Linked DNA regions of Astyanax mexicanus. Each later gene encodes a partner of the first gene's protein in a complex. Links are inferred from orthologs where the notes say so. Each region holds a gene or a part of one and is shown in the gene's direction. Other genes may lie near its edges.

Region 1 (15,231 bases):
GAGGAGCTGTTCCTTGACTGAATGAGAACATCAGTGCAGAACGTGATTAGACTGTCAGCAAGAACAGTTTGTCCACAGCTACTCTGAGAGAGATGTTATAGAAGAGAAATGCACATCTGTTCAGATCTTTCACTGCTCTAGAGGGAGGAGGTAAAACTGATCTGGTCACCTTTCTTCTCCACAAGCAACTGATGAGTTCATGTGTAGCATCTACCAAGAGAGCAGTCCAGGTCTAAGTGCTTGACCCTTCGATAATAAGGGGGAAGTGTGGCTGTTCTGTTCTGGGGGCCCAAAACCTCAATAAAATACTTTATGTAGACTTTTACGCCATGTGGAATTGGTCTGAATGTGCTTTATACACTACAACTAGAGAGTTGACATCTGCAGCTTTGGCAAACTGACATTATACTCGGCAACTGGAGTGTTGAAACATGAGCCTTGGGCCAGTTCCCATACTGTACTTGGCAACCGGAGTGTTGGAACATGGGGCTTGGGCCAATTCCCATAATCTATTTGGCAACCAGTGTGTTGGAACCTAAGACTTGGGCCAATTCCTATATTGTACTTGGCAACCAGTGTGTTGGAACATGAGGCTAGGGCCAGCTGACATACTCCACAACTGGAGTGTTGGAATATGAGACTCGGGTCGATTTCCATACTGTACTCGGCAACCTGAGAGATGGAACATGAGAATTGGGCCAATTTCCATGTTGTACTTGTTAACCTGAGGCTAGGGCCAGCTGACATACTCCACAACTGGAGTGCTGGAACTTAAGACTTTGGCCGTTTCCTATACAATACTTGGCAACCAGAGTGTTGAAACATGCAGCTCAGGCCTAGTGACATACTATACTCAGCAACCGGAGTATTGGAATATGAAACTTGGGCCGATTCCCATACTATAATCAGCAACCGGAGTGTTGGAAGACGCAGTTCGGGCCAACTGACATATTGTCCTCGGCAACCGGACAGTTGGAAAATGAGACTTGGGCCAATTCCCATACTGTACTTGGCAACCAGAGTGTTGGAACATGAGACTCAGGCCGATTCCCGTACTATACTCAGTGTTGGAACATGCAGCTCGGCCAACTGATATATTATACTTGGCAACCGGAGTGATGGAACATGAGACTCGGGCCGATTCCCATACTGTACTTGGCAACCAGAGTGTTGGAGCATGAGGGTTGTTGGAACATGTAAATCAGGCTGAATCCCATATTATACTCAGTAACCGGGGTGTTGGAATATGAGCCTTTGGGCAGTTCCCATACCATAGTCAGCAACCAGAGTGTTCGAACATAAGGCTCGGGCTAATTGACATATTATACCCAGCAACCAGAGTGTTGGAACATGATACTCTGACCAATTCCCATACTGTACTCAGCAACCAGAGTGTTGAAACATGCAACTCAGATTGAATCCCATATTATGCTCAGTAATCGGGGTGTTGGAACATGCAACATTTTATACTCAGTAACAGGAGTGTTGGCAAAAGTATCACAGGCTAACTGACATATTATGCTTGGCAACCAGAGTGTTGTCACATGTGGATTGGGTGGCTTGGGCCAACTGACGTATTATACTAGGCAATCCTGCGTACACAGGGCGGCTGATGGAAGTGATCATGACTGGTGGCTTCTGGCAAAAAGTTGTCCATGTAAACAAACAAACAATTTTGGCAGAAATCACATCAACATTCAATGCAGGAAACCACAAACACATACCTTATAGGTCAGTGCAGTGTCCTTTAGCTTCCATGGGACATGTCACAAGTCATGGGACAAGACTATTTAGACTTTTTCAGTCTAAATAGTAAAACTAACTCTAAGATTCTAGACTGTACTTTGCATACTTCACTTTAGTCTTTCACATTTACTTCTGCTTAACTCTGCTGTGTTCACTGCCTCAGCTGTTGCTCACACATCTAATTTTGGAGCTTTAGACTTTAATTTTAGACTAAAAAAAGGAAGAAGAAGAGCGTGAAATGATAAAGACGGTTCCTGTGCTGAGACATACTGGGTATAATAATTTTAATGGAAGCTCTACAGGGAACTCGGTCCTCTTTTCCTCCTCCTCGCTTGGTTTTAATAGCTCCTATTACTTTGTTCTTGAGTCATTATGTGATTGCAGTAATATTTTTGGCTGGCTATTTTTGGCCTTTCCTCCTCGAAACTTCCAGTTAACCTGATTTCTTTGAAGTAACAGGTTTAACAGGCTGCTGAAGGCCTGTTGAACTTTAACCCTGTGCTGCTGTGTTGTGAGGATACAGCTGGGCAGGACTTCAGTCGCTGAGGAGGCTATTACTCCTCCTACTTGTTGTGAAGTAATGGACTGAAGCAGAGCAGCAGAATAAAGACAGTGGCCTGTAGAGAAGAGATATAGCTCAGTGTGGAGGCAGTTCTATTACTGAATCAATCACTCTCTCTTTATTTAGCTTCTCACACCACCTACTGTTCTTCCCTGGAACTGCACCTGGCTGACCTTTGATTGCTGGCCCTGATTTTATTCAGTTTAATCTTATTTAGTAATATTACTTTGATCCACTTTTTATGTGGACATTTTGTCCCTGTGGATTAAACAGATTCAGTCTTAAAGGTCCTGTGGTTAAGGTGTTGCTTTTTAAGGTTGTTTAAATTCAATTCAATTTTACATATAGCGCTATTTACAACAGTAGTTGTCACAAAGCAGCTTTACAGAGAAAAACATGTCCACACCGCTTATTAGCAGCAACACAGAGATGCCAATTATTGTGGTGACAACAGTGGCAAGGAAAAACTCTCTTGGAAGAACCAAGACTCATTTGAGATACAGTTGTTGGAGATACTGTATATGTACTATATATTTATTATATATACAGCTCTAGAAAAACTGCAATTTATAGGTATATGTTTAAGTAAAATAAACAAATTATACGGACAACATTTCTCCCAAATTCCAAAGAAAAATATATTGAAGTGACTCAAATCAGATTTTTTGCTCAGTGTGGCTCAGATTAGATTTTTTCATGGCTGTGTGAACGTGCCAAATCAGATTTTTTCAAATCAGATTTGAGTCACTTTCATATGTGGTCCTAAATCAGATACGTATCCGATCTATGGACATGCGACATGAATGTGAACGGTCAAATCAGAATTCATGCGTCTTTTTGCTTTTACGCATGCGCTAAGTGCTTCTCTCTCGTACCCACAACACATCTCTTGGTGCAGCTGTGCAGCTATAGCTGCAAAAACAGCAAAAGACTTTTTTCACCTCCTCGACCTGAACATGTACTTCAGACCAGCAGTTTTCTCTACATTCGATTAAAATATGCTCCACATATGAGCTGCTAACACATTCATTGCACCTTTATAAAGCTACGAGTTGTGCACATGAGACGTTTCAGGGACAGATTTATTAACATTACACACAGATACAGATCACTTACATTTGTGAATGTGAACCGTCAAGATAGCCAAATCTGATCTGAGCAAAAAAATCGGTTTCTTGCAGAGTATGTAAGCTTAACAGATGCACAGCTAAAAGGCTATGTCTGTATATTTGCATCTGTGCATTTTAACTAGATTACCCGTGGTTTACTGACATGACTCATGAGTTGTGATGTAATAACTCAGTATAGGTGAATCGTTTGTGAGTTTCCCTAAAAAGCGACAAGCGTCACCACATTCACACCTCAGCTGTGTCGTGTAGCAGCAACATGCATAAGGCAATCCTTATTTGACAATCCGGTCACATCATCACACAGCCTGTTGCTAAGCACTGAATTACCCCGGCGAGTCGGATCAGAGCCACTGCAGCTGAAATATCCAGCGCTGGCCACAGGTCTCACCTGCTGTGCCTTTACTGTGTGCCTTAATAAAGACTGTGCTCGGCTCCCTTAGCAACAAACAGCTACTGATATCAATGGGGGATCCTCTGTCTTTTATTGCAGAAGAGCCATTGAAAAGGTGAATGCTACACTATGTGTCCACATGTTTGTGGACACCCCTTGTAAGGATTGCAGCGTTCAGCTACACGCAGCCAATAGAATAGTATTCTCTGAAAGGAGCAGATAATAAGCATTAACCTACTAGCACCATGTCTAATGCCAACCAATGGTGGACTAGTTAAAGGTGGTGGTGGTGGTGGGGGGTGGGGTGGGGAACTGAGTGGAACTGTGTTCTCTGGAATGAAGGCCAGCCAATATTTTGAATAGGATAAGTTGAGGATTTATGGATGATATGGGGTGGTGATTATCTAATATTCTCTTTTCATATCTTTTCAAGTTCTCATCACTGAATACAATCAAATCCTCACAGTTATGTTCCAAAAACTGTTAGAAAGCCTTCTCTGGACAGTAGAAACAGTTACCCCAAGATAAACGATTTAATACGCTTGATTTCAATAGAAACGAATTAAATGAATGAGCATACGTCCCAATACCTTTGTTCATATACTGTGTGGTGGTTGGTGGTTGGTGTGGTGCAGTGGATAACTGGTGGATAAGTGGATTATGAGCTACCACGTCATGTGGGAGACAGGGGTTCAGTTCCCAGTCTGGTTGACTAAATGCTCTGATACACCAATAAGAGTCCTTGGGCAAGACTCCTAACACTACATTGGCCAAATAATTTTATAAATGTAAATGTATTAGGGACATGGGGTCATACAGGACAGTGTCTAATAAGTCAGCATGAAACACACTTTAACCTACATGACAAAAAATATTATTAAACATTTAAAAACCTCTTATTACTTGTCTTTTGGTCAATTTAAAAATAATATGCTTGTAAAAACCAGTTCATAACGTTTAATTCAATGCAAAAGGTAATGTAAAAACCTCACACCTCATTTAACTTGGTTAGTAGAATAGGAAATACAAACATAACGTGGTTTCTGTTTTTGCAAGCAGTATGTTCATGTTTAAAGCAGAATGTGTGTGTGTGTGTGGATTCTCCATGATCAGTGCCATAAACAATGGTTTGCTATCACACGTCCTAAAGGTCTGGTTTTATGGTGTGTAGTGCATTTCAGACATGTTGAAATGTCATCTCATTTTCACTGGTGCCTTAAACTCATACACAGTACTGATATAACAGTGAATTCTGTCCAAATGGGCAAAAGGAAATGGCTTTGTCATATACTGTAGAGCCTATAGCCCGTTTACCCATATTACCCCACACACTGTCTTCTATGAACCCAGGCTTCATAACACCTGAAACCACCACTGTTCAATACAAGCTGGATGCATTTCAGCTAGAATTACAACTGTGCAAGCAAACCTTCATTTTTTATCTTCAGACAAAAATACAGTTTTATTTAAAGGAAGAATGAATAAACAGAAACTGTACTGTTAAAGAATTACCTGCAATACCTGAAATCACTCTATATCAGTGATGCTTAGCTTGTTGCCATTGCTTTAATTCAACTGACAGTTAAACTAGCACAATTGCATAAAATTGCTTGTATAGCACTTATAAGTTGTGTGGTGTTATCTCGTGAGTGAGGCTGATCAAGGGTCAATGTGCTCATGGCATGGCGACAGATGCATTACATGTATATTTCATTTTCAAAGTTGTGAGGACACTTATAATTCCTCAATCTACATTACCATGTGTCGCATGTACCGTTAATACGTCCTTGAAGACATTACCACCCACAGTGCACAGTGCAGTGGGTAGTAATGATTGTGATTTTTTTTTCAAATGCAGACAATTCTGAAGACAATCATTAGAAGGGATGTCCAAAAACAATTGATGCATTCCAAATGTCCAAAAGACGATAGGGTCACAGCTATCAGAAAACGAAAAAAAATATCATTTGGCAATGTTTTGAAAAGGTACCAGAAAGATTAGCCTGTAACCTTACAGAAATAATGTACCAGAATGATCTAAAAATGTGTAGTATAATAATGGTTTGCATCACAGTGTAATTAAAACGTTTCTCACATAATGTTCCCAGCTAGACTAACATTACAGTAAAACAAAAAATTAAAAGACTGACACAAGAAATGTTGCAGCAATGTTAGAATGTTAGATAGGGTACATCCAGAAAACTTAACAGAATGAATCTTCTAAAAACACTAACTACAATTTTCAGATGTTGTTCTACCAAAGAATTGTTAGCTGGGGTGATTGAAACAAAAGCCAAATGGAACAATTTAGCTTTGTAAGCTGTATTTTCTTGCATAAATACAAAAAATTTTTTTTTTTTTATTAGACCAAGCTTAGAAAATCAAATTGAACATCTTTTTTATTATTACAGAAATTACTCAATTGTTTGGCTAGATTATTCGAAGACAAAAATATAAAACAAAAAACCTAACTCGCCTTCATTTTAATGAGAAATTAAATAAATGACTTGCTTTGTTGTACAAGGCAACCTGTGTCCCATATTGACATATAACTCTCTACCCCCCAAAACCTGCACCCACCCTAGTGATACTTGATCCATCTCTACCACATCCATGCTAGATATATTGATTTCAGCTGCCATTTCAACAGTGCAGCTGAAATGCAGCTGTGACACAATGCATGTGTACATATAAATATATATATATATATATATATATATATATATATATATATATATATATATATATATATATATACATGTTCAAATGTTCACATATTTTCATTCAATTATGAAAAACATGTTACTGAATGGCTGTTAAATTTGGATGGGCGCTTATTTGTGCATCATCATCATCAGCATCATCATCCTCATCATCATCATCATAAAAAAAAAAAAAAAATGAAAGCGTGACGAAAAAAATTCCCCAGTGGTCTCCGATGGTCTCCACCACTGAAATATGGGCACGAGTGTGCGCACGTGCACTCCCACTCCCCCCTTTTTACGTCCTTACTTGGTACATATGTGCAGAATACGACCTTCATTTATATGAGAAATATAGCTGTTGGTACCTTCCCAGCGGGTATGACAGCCCCTATGTACAGGAAAGAAATATAATTTTCTTGATCCATTTAGGAACCACACTTTAAATATATACAAATATATGCTTATTTAAGTTCAATTACTCATATTTGTTTTGTATAATTCATTACAAAATGTACATTAAGCGAATATATGATTTATGAGCACCCCCTCCATGTGAATGGAACAGTCCTGCGTGAGAGATGCGGGGGGAGATACTCCAAGAAGTGCGCGGTGTAGTAGGGCAGCACCCTCCATACACACACACATATACATACACACACACACAGCTCTCCTCTTCTAGGGATACACTGAAGCAGCCAGACAGATCACCCTCATCATCACGAAAAACATTTAAAATAGCGTGTATATTATTTTTTTTTTTGCTGTTAAAACAACCCAAACAGGGAGATTGACGACGATTGAGGGGATCTAACAGTTACCACGAGCAGCCAATTAGCTATAATAAAGGTAAGTGGAAATGATTAATCATTTTTTATTATGAGTAACGTTGTATTTTAGCTGATTTAGTGGAACAGCTTGGTGAATGCATTTTATTTTAGCTAACCTGGTGCGTTGTAAAAATATAAATATATAAAAAATAATAATTTCATTTTTAGCACATACTCATTTTCACACCTGTCAAAAAAGATGTCATGGTAGATATAATGAGAATAACGTTATATATATTTTTTGAAAAATGTATACATATTTATGTGCATGTTAACGTTTATTTATTACCTCTTATGTTCATTATTAAACAAAAAAAAAACAAAGATATTTAAAAAAATTAAGGTAGCTGATAAAATCTTTTTACTCATGGGCATTGTTTAATATAATAATTTATACTAGCATGATGACCTATAAAATGCAGAAATAAAACAATATAAAAGTAAAATACTAAAAATTATACTTAAAAAAAACATAATTAGCATATTTTCACACCTGTCCAAATCATGTTACACGTCTCGAAATAATTTATAAAATATTATTAATATTTTCGCACTTCAGATTTGAAGGTTTTACTATGTTTTAACCTATAATGTACGTATAAAAATAATAAAATAAAAAAATATATATATATATTAAAAAATCAGTGCAGTCACGCGTCGCGTGCAGCATCTCAGCCATTCAAATTTCTGAGAGATGACGGTTGGTCTCTCAGCAGCTCTCCGTTGATTTCTGAGCGAAAAATGCGCAGTTTTCGCCTTAAAACCGATTAAAACCCAGCGTATCCTATCCATCAGCCGAGAGTACACGGTTTCCTGACGCAAAGTGATGAAAAAACGGAATCTCCTCCTAATTAATCGGTTATTTCATCGAGCGTTCAGTGAGGAGCACCGTTAGCCTTAGCCTCGCCCCTTCACCTTCCAGTCTGCCGATCCTAGAGAGTGAGGTGAGGTTAGCTAGCTTAAGAAGGGTCTCACTGCGAAATTAATGAGGTAGAGAGGTAGCTAGCCATATTTATACATGTGTGGGTTGATTATTAAGGCTGTTTGGTGAATACACTGAGAAAATGGGTCGATAATACGCCTGTTGTGATGTTAGGCATCAAAATGACCTTGCAGCAAACGTAGGCTAAAGGATGGCAACCTGTGGTTATAACCAGACTGGATGGGGGGTTTCTCAGACCAAATGCTAGTTAATGAGCTAGCAAGTGTGAATAGATGATGATTTTGGACATTTTTGCTCTGTTACATCAATATATATTAACCTTTAAACTGAAAGCCGTGGCATAAAGAGGTTTGCTTGGACACAGGCATGATTTCCCTGCTAAACAATCCCTGCTAACCTTGTTTAAGAAAAGCTGGCCATCCAGAAAAAGATCATTCCCTATGCTGGTCAAGAGCTAATTTATGTTCTTTGTGGATGACCACCTGGTTTTGAGCTAGATTTATTTATTTTTTGCAGAGCAAAGTTGTGGATGGAGAGGGTGATGCATTTGGGGTTTTTACGTTTTTCAGATTGAACAAAAATACCATAAAGGCCCCCAACATAGAATTATGAACCAGTGGAACCCTAAAACAGAAAAATATGACATAAAGGCGTTTGTCTGGAGAAATTCATGGTTTGAGGGTTTTTATGAGCAGCATGGTCATCCAAAAAAAAAACATATTCTATGCTGGTCAAGAACCAGTTAATCAGCATAGGGTATGTTCCTTGTGGAGGATGACCACTTGGTCTTGAGATGGATTTTTAGTAGAGCAGGGTTGTGGATGGAGAAGGTGATGCTTTTGAGGTTTTTACATTTGTGAGATTGACCAAAAATGCTATAACGGTATAGAGGGGAATATAGGCCACCAACATGGAATTGTGGAACAGTAGAACCCTGAAACAGAAAAATATGTCATAAAGAGGTTTGCCCGCAGAAAGTCATCATTTGTTAATGTAGTAGGTGATGCTTTTGGGTTTTTGCATTGTCCAGTCATCCAATTAAACCAGACTGGATGGGGGTTTCTCAGACAAAATGCTGTATTTTCCATTTCTATCAACCTTGAAAGTGAAAGACATGACTTGAAAAGGTTTGCCAGGGTACAGTCATGATTTCACTGCTAAACAGTCCAGCATAAAAACAATTGGTCATCTAGAAATTAAAAAATACCCTATGCTGGTCAAGAGCTTGTTAATAAGCTAGCCTACTAGCATAGGATATCTTCTTTTTGGATGACCACCTGGTCTTGTGCTGGATTTTTTTGCAGAGCAGAGTTGTGGATGGAGATGGAGATGCTTTTTTTTTTTTTTTTTTTACATTTTTTTTACATGTCAGATTGACCAAAAATGCTAGTCATGGGATTGAGGGGTAAAGAGGGGTATAAATACCACCAGCTTTGAGCTGTGAAAAATTAGAACCTTGAAACCAGTCTGATTAAACAAATATACAGTGCATAGAACTGTGGAAATCTTAGGACTTTGAAACCTTGAACCTTGAAAAATATGTCAAAAGTGAGTAGGTGATGTTTTTTGAGTTTATGCTTTGTCACATTAAACAAAAATGCTAGGCATGGGATAGAGGGATATAAAGGACCCAGCACAGAATTGTTGAACAGTAGAACCTTGAAACTGAAAAAAATATGATATAAAGTGCTTTGCCTGAATATGGCCACAATTCGTAAATGGAGTAGGTGATGCTCTTTTGGGTTTTTGCTTTGTCAGATTGAAAAAAATTCTGTGTGGGAGTAATGGACTGGTGGGTTTGATGAATAGCCTGTCATCGTGATGATAAGCTACGGTTGAAAATTCCACCGCCCCACAATATATAAGGCTATGAATTAGGCCTGTCTTGATAATCATTTTTTAAATAGAAATAATTGCAGTAACGAATATTATTGTCATTTTATGATATTATATATTTTTAAATGATAAAGTAATGTAATTCATTTGACAGGCCTACTATGCATGTTTTTTTCATAAAGTGTGTGTATAGTTGGATTATATATTCTCGTGTCTAATCATAAAATTAATGTTTTTTCTGTGTTCCTAAGCCAGTTTCTAAGTGAACACTTATTCCCAAAAGCAAATTCTGAATCAGATTACAGGTGTTTAAACTGAACACTTGTTCCAAACATTGATCTAATAGGCTTTTAGCGACAGATTTTAAAGGGCTCTCCTGATAGCTGTTCTCTGTAAGTTCATCATGAGTTCATCTACCTGTCTTTGCTTTTCTGCTCCTCTGAGTCTCATTTTGGGATGTATTTTTAGCCCAAGCTCTTATTCAAGGCTTGTTGTGTACTTTCTCTGTGCTGCTGTGCTCTTGGCTTTGTAACCTTGATAGGACCCCTCGGAGAAACGATAATGAAGCAAGGAATTATGGTAGAAGGCAAGGTTCTCGCAGGTAGAATTCGCTTTAATGAGTTCATTGGTCTTCCCGGCTGGGGTCCACATGTCACATGATCTTGCTTCCAGCCACCCATTGGTGGAGCTATTTCTGTACTGACCAAGTCATGACTTGCCACTGCGTTTGGAGAGGTGAGAGTGTGTGTGCAGTGGAGGTGGAGGATAAAATCTATTGAATGGGCCACATAGGCCACGCAGCTAGAACAAGAAACAGTAACATTATAAAAGAATTACAGGTCTGATTCTGCTGTAATTTAATAAAAATTGATTATCTACTAAAAGGGCAATGTAAGTCATATTGTGGTTTGATTTTACCACCATTGCATGCCACTTTATCAATAAGCTTGTGGTATATGTCTTACTAGGAGAGCAAGCCAGTTCAATATTGGTCTTTAAAATAAAGTTAGGAACATTTGGAATCAATGACCATGTTACACCTATTCACTTCATGTGACTAGCATATGGATTGTATCCTGATAAGATTTAAAATATATGCTTTAACACTTGGCAGTCACATAAGCTTCCAGTTAATTTAATTAAAATCTGATTGCTATGTGCAATGGAAATTGTGCATCAATTATTGCTGGTGTTACTGTTGTTGAATGCGTCTTGAAGATATGTTTGTGGATACACTTCTATAACTTGGCTCAAATGTCTTAAGTGGTTTGAGTGATCGAATTTGTATATTTGTATGTTTTAAATGCATCTTGGGTGTGTTTACACTTGCATATTTATGTGTCTTGGCCGTATCCAGGGATAATCCTGATATTCAAGATGCTCAGAGATGCATTTTTCCACAAATACAGAAGCTTGGAAGAAAGTAGTGTATGGGTCGAAAGGTAGATTGCTAGCATTCTAACCGGCCATGCAGATACCCGCCCACTTGCAACAGCCTCAAACACACCCAAAAGAGACAAACGTGGGGCGACACAAGTGACTTGTCACCTGCCAGCGTGAACACAGGTTTAAAGTGCAGATCATTGAAGTTCCACTACCTCTCAGCTACTCCATGCAATGAACAGAAAGAGTGCAATTCAGGCCCTTCCGTTTCTCCCGGTCATATAGAAATGTGCTCATATTATCACAAGGAAAAGTAATTGTTGGAAGTATCTGACACTGGAGAGACTGTTAAGAGATGAACAGTTGGATGGAATAGTGGCTGTTTTTTCAATAAAGCATATGGGGATGGGTACAACCAGCTAGCAGAGGCGTTAGACCTGTGGTGGCTTCAGTATTGCCATTGCCACTACTGTTTATTTGTTTTGCAGTCATTGCCTGTAATTATATCTTGATATATTAATGTACATTATTGTTTAAAAAAATATTTTGTCCACATTCCCACCAAGTTATTTCAGAGATGCTAAAGCATGTGATTTGGCAGTGTTATATATAAAGTATAGTCTGGTTAGCTTCAGTTTAAAGGTATCAGGAATAATTTTACGTCCAGGAACTGCAGTATGGCTGTCAAGGAAGGCTGGGTGTAGCAGCATCATAATCTCTCTTTCATAATCCCTGCAGTGGAGAAGTGGAAGGAAGCTCTTCTGCAGGGGAAATACTTCTGTTCCCATGGGCAATATCCACTGCCCCCCTAGTGTATAAAAGCAGACCTTATTTTAAGTCTGTATGAATGAATTTAGTTCTTGTTGTCTGTCAAGTGTTTTTAGGTCTTAGGTTTATATTACTTTATTTGGATGTTAACAGCACATTGCTAGTTCACAGATGTGCCGGAAGTCATGGGTTAGTAGGTAAATTGATCATGAAGTGTTATCTTAGGGGATAGGTTGAGAACATCCCCACCTGCAGTTGTGAGGTGTTATTTTGTGACTCCAGTCAGACATCGCATTCACATTCAATGCAATTCTTCAGATTCCATTGGACATGGCAAAAGTGATGGGATACCATACTAGTTTTGGCATGTCACTGTATAAAGTAGCATGCAAATTAATAGTTGAGTGAATAGTCAGAAATACATGTTAAAAATGAAACATGTTAAAATAAAACATAACTGTTTTGTGCAATTTCAGAAAAATTATATAATTTAAACTCTTAGATCATTTTCCCCCAGAATCTCAGATTTTGATTAGTTATTTAGGGTTATGACATGTTCACAATCATGCTTAAAGGAATTCCAAATCTTTATAAATATGTTTAGACTTACCAAAGCTCCCCAGATATAAATTAGACATGAGAAGATTCATTAGACCTAGAGCAGAAACAGACAGGAAAACTGGTTGTCAGTGTTCCACAGATCCAGGGTTAAAGGGTCCCTGGAGGTGTGTTTTAAATGTGTATCTATTCTCTCACTATGAAGACTAAATGCCTTACATAATCCCAGCCCATACAGTATAGCTCAGAGATGCTCAGCATATTAATAAGAGCTGTTAGCAGAGGATAAGGGCTCTGAGCATGTGCTTGTGTATGGTGGTGGCGGGGGCTAAAATGGATGCGGTGTGGATCATGGGTGAGCACAGCTGATGGAGCGCAGTGTGTCCATGGTGACAGCGCACTGCACAGATTTGTTACAATGGCTAATCTTCTCTTCTCTTCTCTTCTCTTCTCTTCTCTTCTCTTCTCTTATGTCCTTCTTTTCTGTTCTCAAATATGTCCTTTTCTTCTCTTCAATTATGTCCTCATCTCTTCTCTTCTCTTCAATTATGTATCTTTTCTTCTCTTCTCTTCTCTTCTCTTCTCTTCTCTTATGTCCCTCTTTTCTGTTCTCAAATATGTCCTTCTCTTCTCTTCAATTATGTCCTTCTCTTCTCTTCTCATTTATGTCCTTCTCTTCTCTTCAATTATGTCCTTTTCTTCTTTTCTCCTCTCTTCTCTTCTCTTCTCTTCTCTTCTCATTTATTTCCTTCTCTTCACTTCTCTTCTTATAAATAATATCCTCTTATTTCTTATCTCTTTTATTTTTTGTATCTCTCCATCTTCTCTTCTCTTTTCGTAATTCTCATCTTCTCTTAATTCTCTTCTCTTAATTATCAAGGGTCTCTTTTTTTCCATTTTCTTTTTTTTCTACGTTGTTTTATTTCTTAATGTTCTCTATTCAAATCTTCTTTTCTCTGCTCTAATTTTCTGTTCTCATCTCTACTTTCCTCTACTCTCTTGACCAGTTATCTTTTTTCACTCCTTTTATATTTTATTTTCTTCTGTTATGTTCAATTCTCTCTTCACACATGTCTTCCCTCTTTTTCTCCTTCCTCTTCTCTTATCTTCTCTTTAATTTTCCTGTCCTGTTCCCTTTTTCTTTAGTCTTGTTATCTGCACAACCCTTTCTTTCCTGTTTTATTCTGTTGGTTCTCTTTTGCTTTTGCTTTCTTTCATTGTTTTTTTCATTTACCTCTTTCTATTCTGTTCTATAATATCCTACCTTTGTTCTCTCTTTTCTTCATGCCTTTCCTTTCCTTCCTCTGTTCTCCTCCTTCACCTCGTCACCTCTCACAGCACACTCATTTTCACCCGGTTTCCATTTCCACCCTGCCATTTACTCAAGGTCTCTATGAAATACAGTGGATGAATTGAGCTTCTCTGTGGCCTCTGTGCCTTACGTCTCCTGCGTCAGTGGCAGAGTGTGTTCTGTCCCTGTAAACGAGAACACTGCAGAAATGTCCTCGTTCTGCACAGGCTCAGAAAACAATTGTGAGGAGGTGAAAACTGGTTTAGAGAAACAGATGCATATATGTCACCCTAAGCAGATCTGTTAACAAACTAGCTACGGGAAAGTTCAGTAGCGTTTAGTGCTACCTGCTAACAAGATGGCAGTTCCTTCCCTCTGAGGCTTTTGCTACGTTTCAGCCTGGGCTGTTTGCTAAATGAAAGGCTGTGGAGAAAGCCTTGTGTATCCGAGCCTTTAGGCTGTGTTTATCCAGCAGTCTATAGAATCAGCACTGAACACACAAGTCCTGTCTGCTGGGAGGGCCCAGGGAAACGGAAACACTGAGATGGAGCATCCTTTGGTATCTTGTTTTCAGAAAGTACTACATTGCCTCATTGTGTTTCAATTAGACTGCTCGGAATAAATACATTATTTTAGAGGAATAGCAAACAAATACATGTGTCCAAATATTAGTAGACACCCCTAATAATTGAGTGTTTTAGCTGCTTTAGGTTGCTGCACCCAGTCTAGTCCCTGTAGTTAAGTACTGCCAAAAGAATAGGACATTCTGCTAAAGGTAATTAAGGTAGAGTGAGGTAGAGGTTCACAGTGTACGCACACACCAAAATACTTTATCTTTGTATGTCCCTAAAGTAAAACTGTGTTCTGGAATGATGATTGGCATTGGTTGAGGAAGTTGGGGATGATCATAACCTCACTAATTGACCACTTTTGTCACTGAATGCAGACAAATTGTCACAGCAGAGCTCCAACATCTATTAGAAACCTGGCAAAACTGGTGATTAGTCGCTTTTTTATTGTTGGAAAGGTTAGGGATATAATTAGGTACATAATACTCTTTATTATATTGAATAAATCACAGCTTTTTAAGC
Region 2 (16,001 bases), on another chromosome or scaffold:
GGAGGACCAGCTACTCTGTAGCTCTGTATTTTCCGGCAGCAGGTGGCGCCAAGAATATGTCTGTAAAAGTAAAAGTACTGTCACATTTACAACAGATATAAATCATAAAACACAGTTATTGTATTTACTATGATTAACAACTATTACTGTTGTTTTACAAGAAACCGTCTTATAATTACATTAAATCTTTCACTTAGGTCATACTTGTTGGTTAAGTTGGTCATAATGGTTGGATAGTGCAGTGTTACTGGATGACTAATATGTTGAGATTGGTGACGCTGGTTGACTGGCTTGGTCAAGTTGGTTATGCTTTTAGACCAGTTGATTTTACTGGATGGCTAAACGGGCAAGGTTGATGATGTTGATAGAGCAGCTTGGTCATAGAGCGGTTGGGTAAGTTGGTCAACATGATTGACACAAGGTGGAATTTTGTAATTTGATACAGGTGATTTTAATGTTCTGGCTGATGTGTGTATATTATATATTAACCGTCATGTTTTGAGAGCAGTTGGAATGTTGTAGAAAGTAAAGGTTAAATACTGTTTCTGTTCTGAGAGAATCTCTTTTAGAGTGTTTGGTCTTGTTTCTGAGCCCCGTCATCCTGTCACTGTTTGTCCAGTTGGGTTCAGGTCGGGTCGAGCTTCGGGCCAATCCTGGAGCAGCAGTTTTTTATACTGTTCTGGACGCTGGCCAGCGCTGTGAGTCAGAGGGATGGCAGGGTTTGAAGGGCAGTGGAGAGAGTGCAGCTGGTGCCCCCGCCGACCGCCAGCTCAGCCCAACCTGCAGCTACACAACCAGCCAGCCAAAACTGCTGGGACACCTTCTGTCCTCAGAGGACACACACACACACACACTTTCATCTCTACTGAATCTCTTTCTCAGGTCTAAAGTGTTTTCCCAGCTTACAGAGAACGTTATGAGAATGTTTGGCAACATTTTAAAAGGGTTTTAGGAAGGTTACTCTGTAACGCTACAATAATAATGTTTTAGGAACATTCTGAAAACATGTGACACAATAATGGTTTGCAATATAACAATTAGAATGTTTCTCAGCTTGACAAGTACTTACATTATGAAAACATTAAGTTCACATTCACAAAACTAAAAATTAAAACATTGATTGCAAATGACGTTAACAGAACATTTGAAAATGTTGAATAAAAACATCCAGAAAACTTGAAAAATTTAACATTCTTAGAAAGTTAATTTTAACTTTCTATTATACAAAAATCGTTAGCTTGGTTAGTGTATTTGTAGGCATCCTGAAGGTTGCATTCATGCTTTAATCCTTATAGATATGTAGATAATGTTCTAGATATCAGAGAGTGTTACAGTGTCAGGAACCATATAAACAAGTCTATTAGACTGGCAGGCCTCTAACTCTGTTAATCTAAGCCCTAAACTAAGCTACATGCTTTTGCTACATTGTATCTTGTTCTGTATTTAATTTGTTTAGTTTTGTTCAGTTTCACCCAGCAGAAACATATTTTTACATCCTGTTATCATTACCTACATGGGTGGAGTCTTCATATAATCAACACTGATTGGTTTGTTGCATGTTTTCAGTTTGTCAAGTTGCCTTACCAAATGTTGTGCTGAGAAGAGAAGACAGATTTTGGCACAACACTTATTCTTTTTTTCTTCTATTGTTTAATGGGTGATGATAGCCTGACTCAACTTCCTGTAGTTGATCTGATTCAAATCAGAATTGCCAAAAAAATGTTCAGACCCTGGATCAACTGATCTGGACCGAGATCACTATGTTTGATTGGTTTAATTTTGCATCTGTGACCCACCCTATAGTTCACATCACCTTTCACACCTGTATTAGGTGTGGGTTGCATGAGCTTCATCCATTGCTGACACAGATGGGCAAATGCACACATACAGCTTGTCTACTACTTGTGGAAATTTATTGCCAATAGAGTAGGACTCTCTGGAGCAGATAAATAGACATAGAAATATTGACACCATGCCTAATGCCAGGTGTGGGCTAGGGGAGTATTACACTGTTTTCATAATACTACATTATGCTTATGGTCCTCTGACAGCATCCAATTAGAGCTCCTGATGAGTGTCTATGGGTAGACCTAAGGTAATCCAGCTACAGGAAGTGATTGAAGCTAAAATAATGCAGGGCTGGTTTTAAAATGCTGCAGTCACAAAACACAGTGATATAAACACACTCACACCCTGTGCAGTAAAGCTGAACGTGGCCTCAGGCTGTAAACTGGACACTGCTCAGAGATTTGGGCTGCTCTCAGCTCAGCAGCGGCACTGTAGACTGACCTGTACTGACCGCAGACTGTCCGGCAGAAAGTGCTCACAGTCTGGAGTTCAACTTATTTAGCTTTAGCCCTGGAGATACGAGGCTAATGCAGCTAACAAGCAGTGGAAGGCTATTAGCATAGCCGTTAGCATGGTGGAATAAATGACCAGACCCAGTCTTACACCTTCCTGTTCCATACATTATACCAACAGCAAGACCACAGTGACTGGAGATACTGTTACTGAATGCTGATTGGCTGACATCCTTGAAACTAAGTCTTGATTTGCTGATGTCAATGATAATGAGTACTAGATACTAATGCATGCTGATTAGCTGGCATTATTACAGAATTGATTGGCATTTCCATGGCTGAGAGTTGATTGGCTGGCATCACTACTGCGTGCTGACTGGCTGACGTCACTGTTACTGAATGCTGATTGACTACTAAATGTGAATTGATTGGCATTACTGCTACTGAGAACTGATTGGCTGACATTAGTGCTCTACTGTTAACTAAGAGTTAAGTGGTTGGCATTATTGTTAATAATTCCTGACTTGTTGTCATCATTGATACTGAGTTCTGAATGGTTTTACTATTACTCAATGCTGATTTGTTGACATTACTACTCAGCACCGATTGGCTGGCATTACTACTGGATGGTAAATGCTGGCATTACTACAAATGAGTGCTGATTGCTTGGAAACAGATTGGCATTATCACGTGCTGATTGGCTAACATTAACACTGAATGTTAATTGGCTGTGAGTAGAATGGCTGGTGATTGATTGCAATTACTTAAATTAGGGGTTATATTATGACACTTTTTACTGAGTACTGATTGGCTGATATTACTGACACTAAGTACTGATTTGCTGACATCATTAATACTGAGATTTGATTGACTGACATCACTGATACTGAGAACTGGTCACTGATTCACTGAGATCACTGATACTAAGAACTGGTTACCAATTGGCTGACGTCACTGATGCTGAGAACTGGCCACTGATTGGTTGACATCATAAATACTGAGCTTTAATTGACTAACATCACTGATACTGAGTTCTGATTGGCTGACATCACTGATACTAAGAACTGGTCACTGATTGGCTGACATCACTGATACTGAGAACTGGTCATTGATTGGCTGACATCACTGATACTGAGAACTGTTCACTGATTGGCTGACATCCTTAATACTGAGCTTTGATTGACTGCGTCACTGATACTGAGTACTGATTCGCTGATATCACTGATACTGAGCGCTGATTGGCTCACATCACTGGTACTGAGAACTGTTCACTGATTTGCTGAAAACCTTAATACTGAGCTTTGATTGACTGACATCACTGATAATGAGTACTGATTCGCTGACATCCCTGATACTGAACGCTGATTGGCTCACATCACTGACACTGAATACTAGATCATTCTGGATCATATCACTTGCAGTGAGTACTGATTGGCTGGCATCATTAAAACTAAGAACCCATTGGCTGACATCACTGATACTGAGCGCTGATTGGCTCACATCAGTGATATCGATTACTGAATGGATTACATTACTGATACTGAGATCTGATTGGATGATTTCACTGATACTATGTACTGATTGTCTGACATCGCTAATACTGAGTGCTGATTGGCTGACATCACTAACTTTGAGAACCCATTGGCTGACATCACTAATACTGAGTGCTGATTGGCTGACATCACTAATACTGAGTGCTGATTGGCTCAAATCACTGATACTGAGAACTGGTTGGCTGATATTGCTGATACTAAGAACTGATTGGCTGACATCAATAACTCTGAGAACCCATTGGCTGATATCACTAATACTGGGTGCTGATTGGCTGACATCACTGATACTGAGATCTGATTGGCTGATTTCACTGATACTAGGTACTGATTGTCTGACATTACTGATACTAAGAACTGATTGGCTGACATCATTGATAAAGAGAACTGATTGGCTGACATCACTGATACAGTGAACTGCTTCATATCACTGATACTGAGCTCTGATTGATTGACATCACTTATACTAAGAACTGATGTGCTGACATCACTGATACTGAGAAATGATTGGCTGACATAACTGATAATGAGTACTGATCGGTTGACATCACTAACACTGACTTCTTATTGGCTAACATCACTGAACATCTCTGAATATCCTGGGTAACTATGCCTTTAAGATGAGTCTTCCTACTGTTAGCTTTGTCATGAAAGCTTAGAAGTGTCCCTTTGAAGTTTTGTCTTTGAACTTCTTATCAAAGTTACATCAAATGTGTGAAATGTAACATCTGATGAGTCAAGGGAAGATCAAAGAGCAGACGACCTTATCAGACAGTTCAGTGTATATTATATACTGTATATTATTTATCAGTATGGCACCCTCTATAGTATACCCTCTATAAGGGTGGACATATGCGCAAAGTCAGCTTATGGAACTGATTCCAGAAGGGTGGCACCTCAGCGGGCACACGGCAGCATGCAGCTTCTGTTTATTATGCATAAAACTGCAGGGTCTGCAGGTTCAGGTGTGTGTGTGTGTGTGTGTGGCAGTGGAGAAAGTCATTGCTCTCATCAAATTACATTTACTGCCAGCGAGTTGGTACTTGGTTGGCAGCTCCGGCTGTGAAAAGGATCATTTGCTGCACAGCGTCTGCAACGACTGTCCTCAGGAACTCAAAACACACACACACACACACACACACACACTGCAAGAAAACATTCAAAACACTGCGCAAACACTGGAGTGTGTTTATACCCAATGAACCCGCTTGGCAGTGTGGTAATGCCACATTACAGACACCCCAAAGTTAACGTTCAATACATTAGAAACTCTCGGCTGTGCTGTTATCTGGATACAGGCCTCGCTTCACAACCTTCACATTCCTGCTTACACTTACTGGCCATTTTACTGGAAACACCTACTCAACCTAGTGTCTTCACTCACTACATGGTCACTTTATTGCAAGACACCTACGTTACATTGTTCTTCCACTTACTATATGGCCAAGTTATTGGAAACACCTACTGGCCACCATAATTACAGACTGTAGTCCTGTATCTATTTCTGTCCATACCTTATTATTAACCTCTTGTCAATTATTAACCACCCTGTTCCCTAATGCTCAGGACCCTGATGCATAAGGTGTTAGTGTGTGTTGTGCTGACACAAATGGAACAAAAATACAGCAGTACTGTGTACTGTGGGCAATGTCCTGTGGGTGGCATTGTGTGGGTAGCATCCTGTGGGAACTGATGAAAAACTTGAGAATGAGCAACACAAACTTCTGTCTGTGTCTTTATTTTATCTAAAAGGTGAAGCAGCTGTAGGTAGGAGTGTGTAAAAGAGTGAGTGATTTAACACATTGTTTAAAACCTCTAGCAGCACTGCTGTATCTGATCCACTCATACCCAGACAACACACGCTAACACATCAGGCAGTCATAATATTATGCATGACTGGTGTGTGTGTGTGTGTGTGTTTGGACTGTCTGCAGGCTGGTTCAGTATTAATGAACTCGGGTCGGAATAATAGCGGGTCCGTTAGAATCCTCCTTCCAGACTAGAGGTCAACTTAGCCTCTGAATTCATCTCTTTAATTAGTACATGCCCTTGCCAGAACACACACACACACACACACACAATCACATGGCTGCTATTGATGGAGCTCTCCTGGGAAATCACAATCTCTCAGAGATTGTGTGTGTGTCTCTGTGTGTGTGTGTGAAGTGGCAGGCCAGGGCTTGTACATTACACCATACCCCTATTTTATTTTACAATATATGGCCAAAAGTACTGAATGGAACTCCACCCCTCTGAACTACACCTGATATTAAGCATGGTGCCAAAATCTTCATATTTAAACATTTATCTCCAGAGAGTCCTATTGTATTGGCAACAAGTTTCAATGACAGAGGCTAAACAAGCTGTGTGTGTGCATTTGCACATTTGTGTCAGCAGTCTGTGAAACTTTTGGTGACTTTTGCTGGAACCAAAACACTATGCTTGTCTTCAGTGTGAGTGGGTGGAACTAAACAGCTGTAGGCTGAATATGTCAATACGCATGCTGCATCAAAAACAGTGAATTACTGTAGAAATAAGCTTTTTAGCAGTTTAGAAATCATAGAACACATGCCAAAAGTAACGGGACAGTCATTTGTACAGGAACTAGATTGTGAAGTGGGAATGCATATAAACACCTGTTGTGAGGTCTTATAGCAAGTGCAGGTGAATTATGGGAGTTGGAGTGAGGTCTGATAGCAAGTGCAGGTGAATTATGGGAGTTGGAGTGAGGTCTGATAGTGGGTGCAGGTGAATTATGGGAGTTGGAATGAGGTCTGATAGTGGGTGCAGGTGAATTATGGGAGTTGGAGTGAGGTCTGATAGTGGGTGCAGGTGAATTATGGGAGTTGGAGTGAGGTCTGATATTGGGTGCTGATTAATTATGGGAGTTGGAGTGAGGTCTGATAGTGGGTGCAGGTGAATTATGGCAGTTAGAGTGAGGTCTGATAGTGGGTGCAGGTGAATTATGGGATTTGTAGTGAGGTCTGATAGTGGGTGCAGGTGAATTATGGGATTTGTAGTGAGGTCTGATAGTGGGTGCAGGTGAATTATGGGAGTTGGAGTGAGGTCTGATAGTGGGAGCAGGTGAATTATGGGAGTTGGAGTGAGGTCTGATAGTGGGAGCAGGTGAATTATGGGAGTTGGAGTGTGGTCTGATAGTGGGTGCAGGTGAATTATGGGAGTTGGAGTGAGGTCTGATAGTGGGTGCAGGTGAATTATGGGAGTTGGAGTGTGGTCTGATAGTGGGTGCAGGTGAATTATGGGAGTTGGAGTAAGGTTTAATATTGAGGTCCACATATCCCACGTGCCAGAGCAATGTTTTTTTAGCTTGCATTGAACATGTTAAAAATCACAGGACATGACAATAGTTTCTTTTCTATAACTTTGGCTTGTTCTTAGTTTTATATGGAATGTTTTTGGTAAAATGTGCATCATCTGAGCGAATACTGTTTTTTTTACTGACTATTTTCTGCCATTTGTTGCTGTTAGGAGCTGTTTTAGAGCTTCATCTGTCTGCTTCCATTCACCATTATAGTGAACTGTTCTAACAGGGGATGATTATCTAGAACCAAGCGTTCCATAACAAACCCTATGTTCACTTTGTTATTATAAAACTATGTGGAGAATTTTAAATTTGGTGAAGTTCCCCTTTAACACACACACACTTACTGTATGTCTCTCGAGGGGATGTCCTTGCTCGTCATTGTCCCAGTGCTCCGAGTGTATGTGTGTGTGTGTGTTAATTTCCACACTCTGAGGGCTGATCTCAGCTGTGAAAACCGTTGCCGTTCTCATCACGACTGAGCATCCAATCAGAACCAAGGACTTCATCCTGGTCCTTCTGATTGGGGGGATTCCAACAGGGAGAGAGAGCCAGAGAGGGAGAGGGAGAGCAGTGATGCTAACAATTAAACAGGCAAGAAATCCCCTTCATTACAGTAACTCTCTCTCTCTTCTTTTTCTCTTTATCTTTATCTCTCTTTATTTTCCCTACTTTCTCTGTTTCTCTTCATATTTTTCTTAATATGTTAGTTCTCATTTTTATCTTCTCTCTATCTCTTTCTTACTCTCTATTGTTACCCATTACCCATTGTTTCAAACATTCACACAATTTCTTTCTCCTTAATTTTTCTTTCATTCCTTTTTCTCTCCTCTCATCACTCTCTCTCTCTCTCTCTCTCTCTCTCTCATCACTCTCTCTCTCTCTCTCTTATTTCTTATTCCTGTCTCTCCAATCTTTCAGTTCTGACTCTCTTTAATTTTACACTAATTTTTCAATTGGTCACTCTCATTTCTATATTGTCTCTTATTTATTTCTCACTACTTCTTTCATTTCATATTTTTTTTTTCTTTCATTTCTTTTTTTCTCTTAATTTCTTTTTCTTTCACTTCTTGCCTCAGTCCTTGTCTGTCTCTGTTTCCTTTTTTCTTATTATTTTCTCCTTTTTTCATTTTCCCACTTTCTTAATCCTTATTTTTTATTTTATTTTCTTCTCATTTATCTCTCTTTTATTGTTGTACTACTTTGTCTCTTTGTCTCTTTTCTGATTTTTAATAATTTTCTTACTCTCTCTTTTCTCTCTCTCTTTCTCTCTCTCTCTATCAGTGGGATCACATTGTCAGGCACAAGCATCCCTGTGGGTTTCACAGATAATAACGTCAGCCTCTCTCTCTTTCTCTCTCTCTCTCTCTTACTCTCTCTCTCTCTCTCTCTCTCTCTCTCTCTCTCTCTCTCTCTCTCTTTCTCTCGCTCCACCACTCCCTGGTAAGGCTCCTCCTTCTGCGTCCCTCTCTTGCTCTCCTCCATCCCTCTCTCTCTCCACATCCTCCTTCGGGTCGGGGCGATCAACAGCGTCTCTGCAGCTGAAGGTAGGCGAGCGAGCTTGGTTCTGTTTCTGCTGCTTTGGGTTGGACAGAGATGCACTGGATCAGACACAACACACCCTTGGCATTTACACTGATTGGTGGCATCCCTGGCACACACACACACACACACACACACACACACACACACACACACACACACACACACAGATGCACACTCAGATATATGGCAGCTTGGTGGTATCGATGGAGATGCCAGTGTGAGCTGAGCAGGGTTTCCTTCTTCTGCTGTATATTAAACTGTGGAACTGGAACTGGAACTGCTTTGTATATACTTTATATTTATATATACTGTATGGGTATGTATATGTGTGTATATATACTATATAAAGGTGTGAGAGGATTGCACACAAACTAAAAAAAAGGAGGTGTGATCTCTAAAGTCGGATGAGTGGTGTTATATAAATGCATGTTAACAATGTGAATTTGAGGTATATATAAGTGAACAGAACACATCTCAAACAAGCAAACAAGATCAAAGGTTTCCTGAGCTTCTGAAGACACGGCTCATCCATCCTGCCTCCACTTTACACCTGTAACCCATCACATCCCACCTGTTCTCCGAGTGCTGAGGGTTCCCCCAGTATGTAAAACAGGTGGAGGCACTGAAGAGTGGGTGGAGGCTCTGGAGGAGAAAGCCTCTATAGAGTAGGGGAATGCTCAGGTTGGTGAACGCTCTGTAAATTGAGTAGGGATGGAGGCTCTTTAGAGTAGATGCAGGCTCTAGAAGGTAGAGCTTCTGTAGAGAGGGTGGAGGCTATGGTGGATTAAGGCTCTGATCAATAGGGGCTCAGTTAGGGGCAGGCTCAGGCAGGTGGAGGCATTGTAGAGCAAGTTGTGGGTTTGATGGGTAGAGGCTCTGATGGGTGGATGCTCAGGCAGGTGGAGGCTCTGCAGAGCAGGTGAAGGCTCTGGCGTGTAGATGCTTTGTAGTGCTGGTGTAAGCTTTAGAAGGTAGAGAATAGGTAGAAGCTCTGTTGATTGTATGCTCTCTGTAGTGGGTGCAGGCTCTGTGTAGTGAATGGAGGCTCTGTAGAGCAGGTGATGGCTCTGGTTTATGGGTTCTCTGTTATAGATGGAGGCTCTGGCGTGTAGAGGTTCCGGTGGAAGGAGGCTCTGTGTATTGGATAGAGGCTCTTGAGAGTGGGTGGAGGCTCTGGAGATTAAAGCCTCTATAGAGTAGGTGGATGCTCAGGTTGGTGGATGTTCTGTAAATTGGGTAGGGGCTTTGGCAGATGGAGGCTCTGAAGAGTGGGTGGAGACTCTGGAGGGTAAAGCCTATGAAAAGCCTAGGTAAAGAAGCTATGGTGAGTGGAGGGTCTCTGTAGTGGGTTGAGGCTCTGTTGGGTGGAGATAACTCTGTATTGTAGAGCTTGTGTTCTGTACAGTAAAGTTGTGAGTGGTATTAGTGAATATAGTAACTCTGTATTGTAGAGCTTCTGTTCTGTACAGTAAAGCTGTGAGTGGTATTAGTGAATATAGTAACTCTGTATTGTAGAGCTTGTGTTCTGTATAGTAAAGTTGTGAGTGGTATTAGTGAATATAGTAACTCTGTATTGTAGAGCTTGTGTTCTGTACAGTAAAGTTGTGAGTGGTATTAGTGAATATAGTAACTCTGTATTGTAGAGCTTGTGTTCTGTACAGTAAAGTTGTGAGTGGTATTAGTGAATATAGTAACTCTGTATTGTAGAGCTTGTGTTCTGTACAGTAAAGTTGTGAGTGGTATTAGTGAATATAGTAACTCTGTATTGTAGAGCTTGTGTTCTGTACAGTAAAGTTGTGAGTGGTATGAGTGAATATAGTAACTCTGTATTGTAGAGCTTGTGTTCTGTACAGTAAAGTTGTGAGTGGTATTAGTGAATATAGTAACTCTGTATTGTAGAGCTTGTGTTCTGTACAGTAAAGTTGTGAGTGGTATTAGTGAATATAGTAACTGTATTGTAGAGCTTGTGTTCTGTACAGTAAAGTTGTGAGTGGTGTTAGTGAATATAGTAACTCTGTATTGTAGAGCTTGTATTCTGTACAGTAAAGTTGTGAGTGGTATTAGTGAATATAGTAACTCTGTATTGTAGAGCTTGTATTCTGTACAGTAAAGTTGTGAGTGGTATTAGTGAATATAGTATCTCTGTATTGTAGAGCTTGTGTTCTGTACAGTAAAGTTGTGAGTGGTATTAGTGAATATAGTAACTCTGTATTGTAGAGCTTGTTAATGATAAAGGTTAGTAAAGTAATCTCTGGTTAATGTGGTTTTATCAGATATTGTTGAATGATGGTTCTTGAGGGATTGGAGATCACTAGAGTTCAGCTTGTGCTCTCACTGATTGCGTAAATGGTATAATGATATTATGGGCTGTAGAGGGAGAAATATGCACCGCTAGTATTGACCACTGCATACCGTTAACAACACCTTCTTTATGTTCTGAACTGGAAGATTAGTTTGTTTCTGGTTAAAGTCTTGCAGATTCTTAAGCTTTTTTTCTGCTTTAACATGTCAACTTTAAGAACTTACTATTCACTCGCTGCCTAATATATGCAAAACTGTTACAGGATCAATGCTATTTTGTTAAACTGGAAGTGGTTTTAATCTTATGGCTGATCAATGTATCATGGTTATGGTATGCCAAAGCCTGTGTTTGAGTCTGTTGAGCTGATCTGGCAAGCTGCCAGTCCAGTGGTCATTGGTCCCTATCTGTTCATGGCTGGTGGTCAGTGGCCGGTCTGCTAGTCCAGAGGGTCGGTACCACTCAGCTGGAACTTTGAGCTTATGCCCTTCAGCAGAGACCCAATTCTGGAATACATTAGCACTTAGAATAAGCACAGTGATGCCCGCTAAACCACACCATGGTGATCGGGCCAAAGCCAAGTTAATCATGTGCATCAGAGCATATTAACCACTGTAAAAACTCCTATTTAGCATTTAGCTTCACCGTTCACAATATCACAATACCTATGTTTAGTGGGTTATTAATATATAATAATAATAATAATAATAATAATAATAATAATAATAATATATCCACCCTAATGAAAGACTGTATGTACTTGGGTACTGTGCTGTTTGACAGTTAAGGTGGAGAGCAACAATTCTGTTTCTGACATTCTCAGAGTTCTTTGCCATGAGGTGCCATGTTGAATATACAGTGGATAGTTTGAGAGAGTTCTACCCAAGATACTATACTCAAGATTCATATACTATACTACCCATATATACCATATATTTTGCACTATAAGGTAAACTAGATCATAAGGTGCACTATTAATACATGTCGCAGTGTTTCGTTTCTAGTTCAGCAGTTCACAGATTTCCACTAAGGCTGGGTGCAGCAGCATTAGCATTAGCATTAGGTTAGCGGCTAATTTCACCCAACAGAGCTACACTGAGAAACCCTGAGTGTTCCGGTAATCCAGGGCTATATTAGCTAGTGGTGCATTCCACGTAGCTTGTTTTAACACAGTAAAATGCAAGCTACAGGCTGATAATACTCACCTCTGAACGGTAAAAGAGCTAATGCTTAGCGTGGTTAGCAGCTAATGCTAATGCTGCTGGAGAACTAAACTGAAAGTCCTGTAAAATTAAGTATAGTGGAGTTGCTTTACTGCTCTTTACAACCAGTCAGGATGATCTTGGGGAAAATTAAAGGATATAAAGTGTGCCTTATAGTGCAATAAATATGGTATTGTTATACAAGCTGAATGCTAACTACTATTTTTATTTCTATAGTGTTGACTAATGAAAAATATATATACACTGTATATTTTGCATGTGGTGGGTGTAAGTCATGCTGAGCCTGGTTGTTAATTAGAGTTCAGTGTTTTCTGGGGGTTGCTGGGAGATTTGCTGAGATTTGAGGATGATGAGTGTGTTGTCTGATAAAGCATCAGGTGTGAAACTCTCCTCTGAGAATAGTTCTCGGTGCCGGCCGGCCCAGGCTGGACCTGTTTGGCCGGTTTGAGGTGGCAGATGTTTGGACCCGAATAACTAACGCCCCCCCGCTGCTGCCAGGGGCAACGTCATCTTTTATTAGGCTTGTTAAATATCCATTAATGAGAGGAGATGGGCTGGGGTGCCGAGGGCAACTGGCAGTAAACAAAACCCTTCTGCTGCCTCGATGCGTATGTTTCCGTACTTCTGCTTTTTTCTGCAGCCTTCAGAAAGTGTGGAGATGCAACAAGTTAACTAAATATATGTTATATATAAATTACATATACATAGGTATATATTCTATACATGGTCTGCAGTTCAGAGTCTTCTACCTACATACAGTCAGTGGGTTATGACCTCCCGTTATAGACTGTACAGATCATTTTTTACAAATACCGTCTGTGGGTTCAGATCTGTCCAGTGACTTTATATAAATATATAGAACATATAGAATATATAAAACGTACGTGCAGTTTGCAGTGTAGCTACTCCCCCAGTGACTGTAATGACCCTGTATATCATATATACAGTCAGCAGTTTATCTCCTGTTCATACAGACTGTACAGATCATTTGTTTGATCTACAGCACACTCAGCTGTTTAGCTCCCTATGAGTGTATACATCATATATATCATGTATGCATTTAGTGGCTTAGCTCCACCCACAATGGCTGTATATATGATTTAGCCTATATTTTCTATATGCTGTACAGTCAGTGGTTCAGCGCCCCTCCAGCTCATCCCCAAATTTCTGTATCATATGTATAGATATAAATGAATACATACTGTATGTACATATATATAACATCTATATGTCATCATTGGTTCTGCTCATCCACCAATGATTTTATTGGTTGTATATATCATTATATCATGTATACAATCAGTGGCTAAGAGTATGACCACCATCCAAAAGTATCTAAACACAAACAGTTCTGAGTTCAGAGTCTGACCCCTGCTGAAGAACTACAGAACAGTTTACACACACACTGTGCATAATCAGCTGAACGTCCGTCTCTAACTGTATATAAGAGAGGGGTTTCTGATAAAGTCTGAGAGTAGAGATTTTCATCAAGATAAAGAACCACAGCTGGAGTTCAGACCTTCAGCCCGGTGATGGAGATAAACAATCTGTACTGGAGGAACATTACTGGAGTTCGGAGCTGCAGGTCATAAATATGATGAGCAGCCAGGCCTCATGGGAAATGTAGTTGAACAGATGATGTGGTAGTGAGGCTGTGGAGAGAATGCCAAGGTCACACTCTGAGAGTATGTGCTGTATACTTGCTGATTGTGTTATTGGATTATTCAGATGTTTATATGCAAGAAATAGTATTTATATTTTCTGTGAAATTCAAGTTAAAATAGATATGTTATGAATATTGGTCAATTTACTGAAAGGAACTTATTCTTTTGAAATGACAAAGTACAAAATGCTCAATGTTTAATACAAATATTTAAATTGTTGCTTTGTTATTTTGTATTTGTTTGAAAGCAATACGAATAGATATATGCTATTTAATCTATTTAACAGTGGAAAATATAGAAAAATTGATACAAACTTGTAAAAAAATCCTATTTTTGTTTGGTTTCGACCAAAAAAAAAAAAAAAAATAATTGCAGTGCTTTCATAATTCAGTGGTCGTAGTAGTAATATTTTATTTAGTATCACGTTTGCAATTTCTATACATTGGGTAACTGCAATTTCTAAATTTTTATCTGGTATTAATATTTAATTTATATCTCCCACATTATCTTTGCATTAGACATGGCTGAAGTGGTGTCATGTAAAATTGTCTATCATATTAGCTGTTTTAAACTGAAAATGTTTAGTGATTAAAGGCTTCACTTTAAACAAGACTATTTATAAACAGGCCTCCCGGGGTTTGTAGGAAATGTATTAATGAATTATAGAATGATGTCAGAGTCAGTCCCTATGGCAGCCACTGACGTAGGTTGGAAACACCTGTGATAATGTATGTCACTAATAACAAACACCATACATTTACACATAAAAAAAATCAGATCTATATACAGTGGTGTGAAATTTTTTTATGTTTGTCACTCTGAAATGTTTCAGACTGATAAAAAACACAAGTAAACACAAAATGCAGTTTTTAAATGAAGGTTTTTATTATTAAGGGAGCAGAAAATCCAAACCTACAAGGCAAAGTGTTAAAACATAACTGTGGTTTATCACACCTGAGTTTAGTTTCTCTAGCCACACCAAGGTCTGATTACTGCCACGCCTGTTCTTAACCAAGAAATCACTTAATTAAGACCTGCAGGACAAAGCAAAGTCCACAAAAAGATACTCAAAAGCAAGACTTGCCAATATCCAAAGAAATTCAAAAACAAATGAGAAACAGTCTGGAAAAGGTTATAAAGCCATTTCTAAAGGCTTAAGGCTAAAGGCAAACCAAAGTGAGAACCATTATCCACAAATGGAGAAAACATGGAACACAGGTGACCCTTCCCAGGAGTGGCCTGCCAACCAAAATTACCCCAAGAGCACAGCAACGACTCATCCAAGAGGTCACAACCGACCCAACAACATTCAAAGAACTGCAGAAGAACTTGCCTCAGTTAAGGTCAGTGTTCATGATGCCAATATAAGAAATAGACTGGACAAAAATGGCAAATTCACAGCATTTCAAAAAAGAAAAAAGTTCATACCTACAGTAAAACATGGTGGTGGTAGTGTGATAGTCTGGGGCTGTTCTGCTGCTTCAGGACCTGGAAGACCATCTGTTCGTGACTTCAAGCTGAAACGAGCTTAGGTGTTGCAGCAGGACAATGATCCAAAACACACCAGCAAGTCCACCTCTGAATAGCTGAAGAAAAACAAAGTGAAGACTAGGAGTGGCCTGGTCAAAGTCCTGACCTGAATTCTTTTGAGATGCTGTGGCATGACCTTAAAAGTGCAGTTTATTTCTGAAAACCCTCCAATGTGGAGGAAATATACTAATTCTGTAAAGAAGCTTTCTTCACTATGAAGTCAAGCATTTATTGTGGTACATTCGTCATGAAATTCTAACAAAATTAAAAACAAGCTATTACAATTATTGTTACTATTATACTGTATGTCGTATTATATTTTTGGAATAGTTTTTGTCATTTTTAAAATAAATTAAACCAAAACTAGACAGACATGGATCTTTTTTACTGTGTCTATAGTACAGATGTCCTGAACCAGAAGATCTGGATCTGGGCTAATTCAGGCATAATTTAGTGCATTAGGTACTGGATGTGCTTGTTCCCACTCAGTGTCTTTAGCTTTTGCTGCTGTGCTTCTGTTTTCTGCTGATATTTTTCTAAGATCCAGAATATGGTCAGGTTAGGAGCC

What was found.
Region 2: the proteins of sv2a (region 1) and syt1a are in contact, whole or in part, in a crystal structure (PDB 4V11), measured with the Homo sapiens proteins. The link is inferred for Astyanax mexicanus from reciprocal best matches to the Homo sapiens genes SV2A and SYT1. Residues at the interface, in NP_001315603.1 of Homo sapiens: Asp82, Thr84, Glu85, Gly86, His87, Asp88; in NP_001129277.1 of Homo sapiens: Thr291, Lys314, Lys326, Lys327, Lys328, Glu342, Ser343, Phe344, Ser345.

Annotation. Positions count from the first base shown.
Region 1 is NC_064408.1:115,430,562-115,445,792, forward strand, and holds the start of sv2a (synaptic vesicle glycoprotein 2A), read left to right. Parts: upstream 1-7,146; 5' UTR 7,147-7,380; intron 7,381-8,049; exon of another isoform or gene 8,050-8,305; intron 8,306-15,231. UniProt on the Homo sapiens protein: Plays a role in the control of regulated secretion in neural and endocrine cells, enhancing selectively low-frequency neurotransmission.
Region 2 is NC_064409.1:25,632,469-25,648,469, reverse strand, and holds the start of syt1a (synaptotagmin-1a), read left to right. Parts: upstream 1-8,650; 5' UTR 8,651-8,719; intron 8,720-16,001. UniProt on the Homo sapiens protein: Calcium sensor that participates in triggering neurotransmitter release at the synapse. May have a regulatory role in the membrane interactions during trafficking of synaptic vesicles at the active zone of the synapse.